Linked DNA regions of Mus musculus. The protein of the gene in region 2 purifies or fractionates together with the protein of the main gene of each other region. This does not show direct contact. Links are inferred from orthologs where the notes say so. Each region holds a gene or a part of one and is shown on either strand. Other genes may lie near its edges.

Region 1 (3,801 bases), on a different chromosome or scaffold from region 2:
ATCCCTGCAGCCATCCACTCCCTGTCACGACTGACTGCAACCCCTGAGCCTGTGGAGCAGTGCACAGGGAGGAATGAAGGGGCCAGCTCTCCTGCACAGATGCTGTGTCTGCTTCACGCCCCCTGGGAAGGTACCATGGCTGCAGCTCCCACGTCCTAGGGTGACTCAGCCAAGGCTGGCTGAGCAGGAAGCTGGCACCTGCTGGAGGGGCAGACGACTGCCCAGCTGCTCCTGACTGGCAGCCGCGCTCCATTACGGGGTCAACGCGAAGGCTGCTAACCTCAAACACTGTCTTGGCAGCATAACCCTGGACGTCATCACGGTTGGTGACGATCTGCAGCACGCGGTACCACACCTCCTCGCTCACATAGTCGCCCGCGATGCGGATGAGGTTGAGGATGGTGTCCACGTACCAGCTGTAGTCCACTGCATACTTCTCAGCCAGGATGGCCACCTTCAGCACCTGCGATGGGAGGTGGCGATGTGTGAGGACAATCATGCCCACGGGAGGGTGACTACTGCCAGTCCTGGATCTATGATCATGGCTGGCCCCATCGTAACACCCAGGGGGGCTCTCCCTCCCCAGACTCCTCCTTCAACCTAAGGGGCCAGACCCCAGCCCTCCTCCCTCACACTCAGGTGTCCAGCCCTGTCCTCTAGACTCACGATCTCCTCTCGGATGGCATAGTCAGCAGTCTCCAGGTACCGCAGCATCTCTGACACAATCTGCTTGGCATTGCTCCGGTCACACATGGCATACAGGAGATCAGCCGCCCGCTGCCTCACACTGACGTCCCGCTCCGTCTGAGGAAAGGAGAGCAGGAGTAAGCTGGGATCTAAGCTGGTACTGGGCCCACTGTAGGCCATCAAGCACCAGGCCTCTCTGAGTGGGGCAGAGGGCTGTACCTTGAGGGCATTAATAACTGTATCAATGTGGGTCTTGACGGCCTCGTGGGAGAACTCGGAGCTGGCCAGCGTGCACATGCTCTCCAGGGCCAGGTAGCGCAGGTTAGTCTCCCGGTGCTGCAGGAACTGGCCCAGCTGGTTGCAGGCGCGGACCAGGAGGTTGGGCTCACTGGCAGGCACAAGTGAAGTGTACATGGAGACAAGATGTGAGTCTAAGGATCCAGTTTCTCACTTCTGCCCACCCAGCATCCTACTGGGTCCCTCCTAGGAACCCTCAGGAGCCCAGATAGAGGGAAGCACTAGAGTGGGGATACGGCCAGTGGAAACCAGCCCTGACTTCAATCCTCGGTAGGCAGGATTAAACTAACAAGCTAAGCAGCCAGCTGTTCTGCAGCCACCGCAGGGGACCATTTCACACCTGTCCTCTGCCCAGGCCCTGCTGTCCCTCAGCCCCAGGTGTTAGATGCCAGCCTCCCTTCCACAGGCCAGTGGCCCCGCCTGCCCACACCTCTGCCCACAGCACCTGTCATAGTGGATGATGAGGCTAATGGTCTCAAAGAGGATAGCGTTCTTGGCGTTGGAGTGCTGCACCTTCTTGGACTTGGGAGGCTCCTGGGCCTTGTTGAGCACAGTCTCCAGACACTCCACTAACCGCCCTTTCACGGCTGCATCCTCTGGGGGAGAGAGAGGGAAAGAGGCTGAGCCCTCTGTTCGGTGGGCTCCAAAGACTGCAGCCTGCTCTAGCTCTCACCGTCCATGGAGGGGCCCAGCTGTCTTCAAGCCTGGCAGTCCCAGGCTGGGCCTCTGCCTTTTAATGTAGATCAGCAATTTCTAGGTCTGGGCTCCTACTCATTCCATACTGACTCTGCTTGGCATGAGTCTCCACTCCTGTGAGCCTCAGTTTCCCCTTCTGCTGCACTGATGTTCCTTAGGTTTCTCACAGAAGGATGGAAAACCCAGGAGCCTATCCCAGAGCCACACGGCACTCAAGCTTTTCCCAAGGAGCTACCATAGAGCTCAAGAGACGGACTCTGAGCTACCACCCGCGAAGGCCACTGCACACTGTTTGGGTGCCAGGGGTTATGAGTTTAACAGAAATAAAGCTGATTGGAGTCCCCAGAGTGCCTCACTGCTGCAGGGGAGGGATACTAGGCAGAGCCCAGCTGCACAGGACAGCTGCTAGGCAGAGTGAGACAACGGCCCTCTGCTGGAAAGCAGCACACTAACCAGCTCACTCCACAGGACCGAGAGCTACGGGCCTAAGACAGGACGAGTTGTGCCACCCCAGGTGCTGCATGGGGCAGGGCACCAGGCTGTGCCCCCCACTCTCACCCATAGCTTTCCACGAGTCTGGAGGCACAGCCTCGCTTAGGACAAGTGGGAACATGGATGCTGGCAGTCCATGGGCCTTACCTGGTGGTGGGTAACACTGGAGCAGCCGCAGTAGCTTCACAGAGAGCCAGGGTGCAGGAACGAAGTAGTAAGTGTAGTCCTGGAGGTCAGTGGAGGCTGAGGAGACGATCTGCAGGAGGAAAGAGTGATGGGCGGGTAGACAGAAGCAGCAGAGGGGCCTGTCCCCTGAAGGACACACGGTTACGACAGGACACCACGGGAGTCAGGTTTGACAAGAAAGGGGAAGCCAAGGCCTGAATATAGGGTGGCCTGAGGGTGGGACCAGAACTAAGCCTGACGGCCTCAGTCAAGAGCCTCCTGCTTCAGCCTCCTGAATGTGTGCACTGTGCCCACCACCTCACTCGCTTTTCCAAGCTATGCTGGTAACAGTGGAGCAGAAGTCTCTGCTAGTTCCCTGTGTGACAGTCTCTAGGGCAGGCTACAGCCTCTCTTACTGCTGGGCTCTACCTCTTACAGCCTGAACCACCATGGTTCCTGCATTCTCAGCACAGAGGAACTACTGAAGTGACGAAGCTGGGTCTCATCCTTCCTCCATCCCTGGTCAGAAGATCGAATGAAAATCACTCCTCAGGGTACCCTCTGACTCCACCTCGAAAATCCTCTGCAAGCTGGGCAGTAGTGGCAAAAGCCTTTAATTCCAGAACACCAGAGGCAGAAGCAGGCAGATCTCTATATGTTTGAGGCCAGCCTGATCTACAGAGCAAGTTCCAAGATAGCCAGGACTATACAAAGAAATCCTGTTTCAGACAAACAAACAAACAAAAAACCCAACAACCTTCTCCAGGAAGCCTGCCAGCGGCTGACAGTGACCTCATCTCTGTACCCTGTTGGGCCTGGCACCTAATGCATTCAGATGTGTGGTAACTAGGGGCTTGAATGGTAGGCATAGGTGTTCCTTCTCCCCGAGGACTGAGACACTTATGGCCTCCCGGACAGCACTTTCATTTTTTTCATTCTGAGTCTCCATTTGGATTGCCATCCCCAGGAGCTCTCCTGTCTCCCAAACTGGACTAGGACCTCCGCGAGGTGCCCATGATGCTGACACACAGCCCTTGTTGGCAGTCTATGACTGAGTCACCGTCCCCGTCACACTCCCTCTCAGCAGGACAGGGCGGCCCTAAGGTCTGACTCAGACATAGAGAGCCAGGCACACAGAAGGCTCGGGGCGGCGCTCTGGGGACAAGGGTGGAGGTGGTGGGAGGCAAAGGAGGGATGTGTAGACAAACAGGAGGAAGAAGAGCAGGCAGGGGAGCTGTCAGCACCTTACCACAGCAACCATGCTGCAGACCGCACTGACACCAGCCCCTGAACCACACAGGAAAAGAAGCAAAGAGAAGTGAAGCCATTTGCCTGGGGGCACACAGCCCGAGGAAGCCAATGCAGAGTCCTGGCTTCTAAGCACAGGCTGGCTTGCCTTTTAGGGAAGGGAGGAGAGACAGATATCACAGACACAGGGGAGCCAGACCCTCCCACGGCCAGTGT
Region 2 (4,561 bases):
AGCAATTTTGTCTCCATGTTCTAAGACATAGATTCATATTTCTTTACTAACCAATAAGCACAGCCCCCCCCAAAAAAACCTAAGACAATTATCATGTGATAGCACAAAATAAAAGCTTGCCATTTCAGTTTATATAAATACTACCCATGTACAGTTAAGGTGCTTAAGAATGCAAAGGACAAAAGTTCATGTTAAACTCAATCTACCAACATACAGACAGCACCTTGTCACGTGGTAAAACTACGGAGCAAACGTTCTTTCTTCTCTTGTGCTTTGCACACAAGCACATGAACACTGAATTAAGTTCTGCTGTTTTCCCACTATGCCATTCAAATCTCTACATTCCACAGCCTCAACAATCCCGTACCAGGCCATTTCCCCCCCCCTCCAGTTTACCATATTCTAATTAGTAATGAAATTTGGGTATTTTCCAGTCACCACCTAGCAGGTCTCCTCCACACTTTCTTCATGTTGTTCAATACTTGTATCTTTGTTTGCTAAGTTGCATTCTCTATGTATGTTCTTGTGTGTATTGCCTTCAAGTAATTACTTTCGTGCCATTCTATTAAATGGTTAGTTTTTAATAAAGAGCAGAAATTCTGTATAAATCAACCTCAAATTTTTAGTTTACTTACTTTTCATAAACTCATTAACCAGCAAAATCAAGCACTCTTTCAATGATATTAAATGAAAAGCCACCTCATTATGGACCTATAAATAAAATGCATTTTTATTTCATGTACATAAAAATTTCCTCATGAGCTATTATCCTGATCAGCTCCTACTGGCAAGTGAGATGTGAAACTGATTAGTCAAACAGTTTGAAACAAGCTCTTTCTTTCTTTCTTTCTAGGTACCATATAGGCTTTTTTTTTTTAATCAAAATCCTAGCAACGAGAGCCACCTCTTACATGTGAGGTCACCAATCTCTTATTTATGTGTACTTTAGACCACTTGGGAAAATGAGATCATTCCACCAGCAGTGCCATATTTGACCTCAACAAGAGGCAAGTTTCAACCATGTTGTATTACAGCATCAGCAGCAGCAGGTAGTAAAACGGGGCAAAACCTACACCGAAGCAAACAGAACCTTCCCTAAAAATGTCGGATACCAAGGTACTCTGTGCATCCCCTTCCCCCACCTTCACAAACCTACTCCTGGAATCTGAGACATAGGTCCTTTGTCTGAACAATGTGGGAGGAGTCTGTCTGGGGAACGGGTGTGCTAGCAAGTGAAGAAAATTTATCGAAAACTGCACTAACGCATAAAGTTCCTTAATTACCCAAATGCCCAGTTTTCCCTTCACGGTACAGGCTAAAGTGTTCTAAAAGACTGACACTAGCGCTTTTTGAAAAGAGAAATGAGAACACTGAGCACCTAAGATCAACAGAGTTGGGGTGCGCTTCTAAAGCCAAGTTTCTGAATAGCGGAGGGAGGAGGTGATCCGGCCACTTGAACATCTCTTCCCTCTCAAATGCTGCCCATGCCTCCATGTCGGTCCACTTCTCAGCACAAGCAGCTCTAAGGCAGGCCGATTGCTTTTTACCGGCCACTCGGCTACACAAACTTCCAAATCTCGAAGCTCTCGGAAACTATTCCGTGACCCACAACTTCTGACCTGACCTCACCATCTCACTGAGGTTTCTGGGGCCGCGCCAGCCTGGGGTTCCACGAATACACCAGACTGGGTGGCCCAAGAAACTTAACACTTCTTGTCCGGCTGAAGAGGCGGAACGGCGTGGGTTTTCGCAAGGTGACCGGTCCCTTTCTCGGCGACCCAGACCCCTTCTCGGTGGACTTGGGGGACTCTCTCGGTTCACTCTTCTGTCGCACGCTCGTCTTTCTTTTCCGTCTCCCACCCACGCCCAGGGCCGTGCCCAGACAGACAGACCGACCGACCTCCGTGCACTCACCCTGGCGTCCGACAATCTCAGCGACATGCTCGGAACTGGGCACGGGGACGCACTCGGTGGTGTTGACGCTCTTCCTTCTCAGCAGGGCCGCTTGCTCTCCGTTCAGGGCGGCAGCGGCGGCCCCGCCGCCGCCGGGGCCGTAGGCGTGGGACAGCATCGCCGCCATCATGCCCTGGGCATCGTCCCCTCCGTACAGCACCCCTGCCGCCGCGGCCTCCCGGGCATCGAAGCCCGCGGCCGGCAGCAGCACCGACCCCAGGGGCCCGCCCGGGATCGGCTGAGTCTGGGAGGCGGTGGCCGCGGGCGGCGACAACAGCAGCAGCGACGGCCGGTCCTCCTCCTCTGCCTCCTCCAGCTCCTCCTCCTCCAGCAGTTCTCCGTCCAGCTCCGCTTCCTCCCCCTCCTCTTCGTCCACCTCCAGCTCCAGCTCCGCCGTCTCGGAGGTCGCGAGGCGGCCAGGCTCCTCCGGAGCCAGCCCGGTCGCCCGCCGGGCCTGGCACTGCGCCGCCGCCGCCGCCGCCACCGCCGCGGCCCTGAGCGCCGGGGCGCCGGGCTCCGCCGGGCTGGGGTCGTCGAGGCCTAGCGCGGCCAGGCGCTCCCTCAGCAGCAGCCCGTCCCCTTCGAGCTCTGGGCCTCCCGCGGGCGGCGGCGGCGGCAGCGGAGGCGGCTGCGGCAGGGGGGCCGGGGCCGCCGCCAGGGCCAGGGCCAGGGCCGCGGAGCTGCCGCTTGGCATCGCGGCGGCGCGCTGTCAATGGCGGCGGCGGCGGCGGCGGGAGCGTCAGGCGCGGCGAGCAGCCGGCCCCATGGCGGACAGGGCCCCGGCCCTGCTCAGCGCGCAAACACCTTTCCTCGGGGGAGGCGGCGGCGCCCGCGCCCCGGGCTGAGGAGCGCCAGGGCCGCCGGAGCGCGCGAGGGCGGGGTGGAGGGGCCGGGAACGGAGCCGAGGTAGGGAACTAGGTGGGTGGGTGGGGACGGCAGCGGCTCCCCTCTCAGGGTTTCTTTTGTTTCATGGCCTTAACCAGCCCCCGGCGCGCGCGGCGGCGGCGGCGACGCCCCACGCCGCTCTCCGAATGAAGCCGGCGCGCTCTGATTGGCTGCTTTTAATCTCCGGGAGGAGCCCGCCCTCTCGTCCCGCAGCCTTCTCGCTCGTTTCCCTCGGCCCCACCCCCGCCCTCTTCATGGGCCCCGCCCCGCCTCGCCCCAGACCGTTCGGATTGGATGACGAGAACGAGCCAGTCTTCGAAGCCGGCTCCTTCCGTCCCTCCCTCCGCCCCGCCCTCCTCTTGCGGGGCGTGCTCTCGAGGGGAGCAACTAGATTGTTCCATTTACACGCCACTCTTTGTGACGTAGCCGGGCGCCCGGGGAACGGGGCGGGAGGAAGGCGCGCGAGGCGAGAAGCAGAGAGGGCGGAGCGGATGTCTGCGCAGGCGCGTGCGCCTCCGGCGCGGACTCGGGATCTTTTTTTTCCTTCTCGCGGTGCTTCCCGTTCTGTGGTCTGTCTGGGGCGGTGTTAGGGAACGCACCGATTGAGAAGCCGGGCTTTGGGGCTGCAAGCACGGGCCGCTGGGCGGTGTGCGGAAGCGACACTGCCTTTCAGGCTGGCGAACCGGCGGAGGCGGAGGCGGAGCCGGAGTGCCAGCCTAGCCACTCGCGGGGGTGGTTTCCTGAGCCGCGTGGCTCCGGGGCCTTCTCTGCCTCTCCCCGGGACTGCTCCTCCCTCCGGTTGGCCGCCCACGCCCGGCCGGCCAAACTTCCCTCGCGGCGCTGCTTCCTTAGTCTGGGGCCGGGAGAGCTGAATTTTAAGTCCTCGGGGCTTTTGAAAGGAAATGAGTTGGGATTGTCCTCGTCTTCCTGCAGCCTTACAAGCCCTCCCTTTAGTACCAACTAAGCCTTTCCACGTTAGCCTAGACCTCCCGCCTGGTTTAAGTGAGAGAATTATAGCAACAATGGAGCCCTAAAGTTTCTAGTGGCCCCGTTATTAATATAACACCTACTTCACACCAGACACGTTTCAAGTACGTTTTGCCACGAAAAAATCTAGTTCTCTTGAGGTTTGAAGTGTATCTTCATTTTCCCACTGTATTGGATTCATTCTCTACACCTTGTTGCGTACAGTTTGTCATGATACAACTCTTGGCTCTTACCACCACCACCACCACAGTACGATAAAGAAAGCGGAATTAATGCCTTCCATTCGCTATTTTGTGATCTAAGCCATTTGCAGAAATCTCTTTCCATCTCTAATCAAAAGGGCTGGAGAATTTTTGCTAATACTAAACCTTCCCTGTTACCCCAAGGTTTCACGCACTAGCTGTCATAAATGCTCGTTTGTAGATGTAGCTGTGGAGCATGGATTCCCAACCCCGCCTGTATATAAAGGTATTACAGAAAGACCTGACTTGGTGGCTAGGTCTGTAATGACAGCTCTCAGCGAATGGGCTCTGGATTATCTCTGGTTCTAGCTACACATAGGGAAATCACGTTTTTATTTTTATTTTTTGTTTTTTTTCGAGACAGGGTTTCTCTGTGTAGCCCTGGCTGTCCTGGAACTCACTTTGTAGACCAGGCTGGCCTCGAACTCAGAAATCCACCTGCCTCTGCCTCCCAAGTGCTGGGATTAAAGGCGTGTGGCACCACTGCCCCGCCA

Evidence for each region.
Region 1: the proteins of Mex3c (region 2) and Ap2a1 purify together in Homo sapiens (affinity purification with mass spectrometry; 3 studies listed by BioGRID, with this or other methods). This does not show direct contact. The link is inferred for Mus musculus from reciprocal best matches to the Homo sapiens genes MEX3C and AP2A1.

Annotation. Positions count from the first base shown.
Region 1 is NC_000073.6:44,905,405-44,909,205, forward strand, and holds part of Ap2a1 (AP-2 complex subunit alpha-1), read right to left. Parts: intron 2,429-3,801; coding exon 2,320-2,428; intron 2,026-2,319; exon of another isoform or gene 1,839-2,025; intron 1,581-1,838; coding exon 1,430-1,580; intron 1,076-1,429; coding exon 907-1,075; intron 825-906; exon of another isoform or gene 805-824; coding exon 667-804; intron 464-666; coding exon 281-463; intron 1-280.
Region 2 is NC_000084.6:73,571,130-73,575,690, reverse strand, and holds the start of Mex3c (RNA-binding E3 ubiquitin-protein ligase MEX3C), read right to left. Parts: upstream 2,987-4,561; 5' UTR 2,648-2,986; coding exon 1,915-2,647; intron 1-1,914. UniProt on the Homo sapiens protein: E3 ubiquitin ligase responsible for the post-transcriptional regulation of common HLA-A allotypes. Binds to the 3' UTR of HLA-A2 mRNA, and regulates its levels by promoting mRNA decay.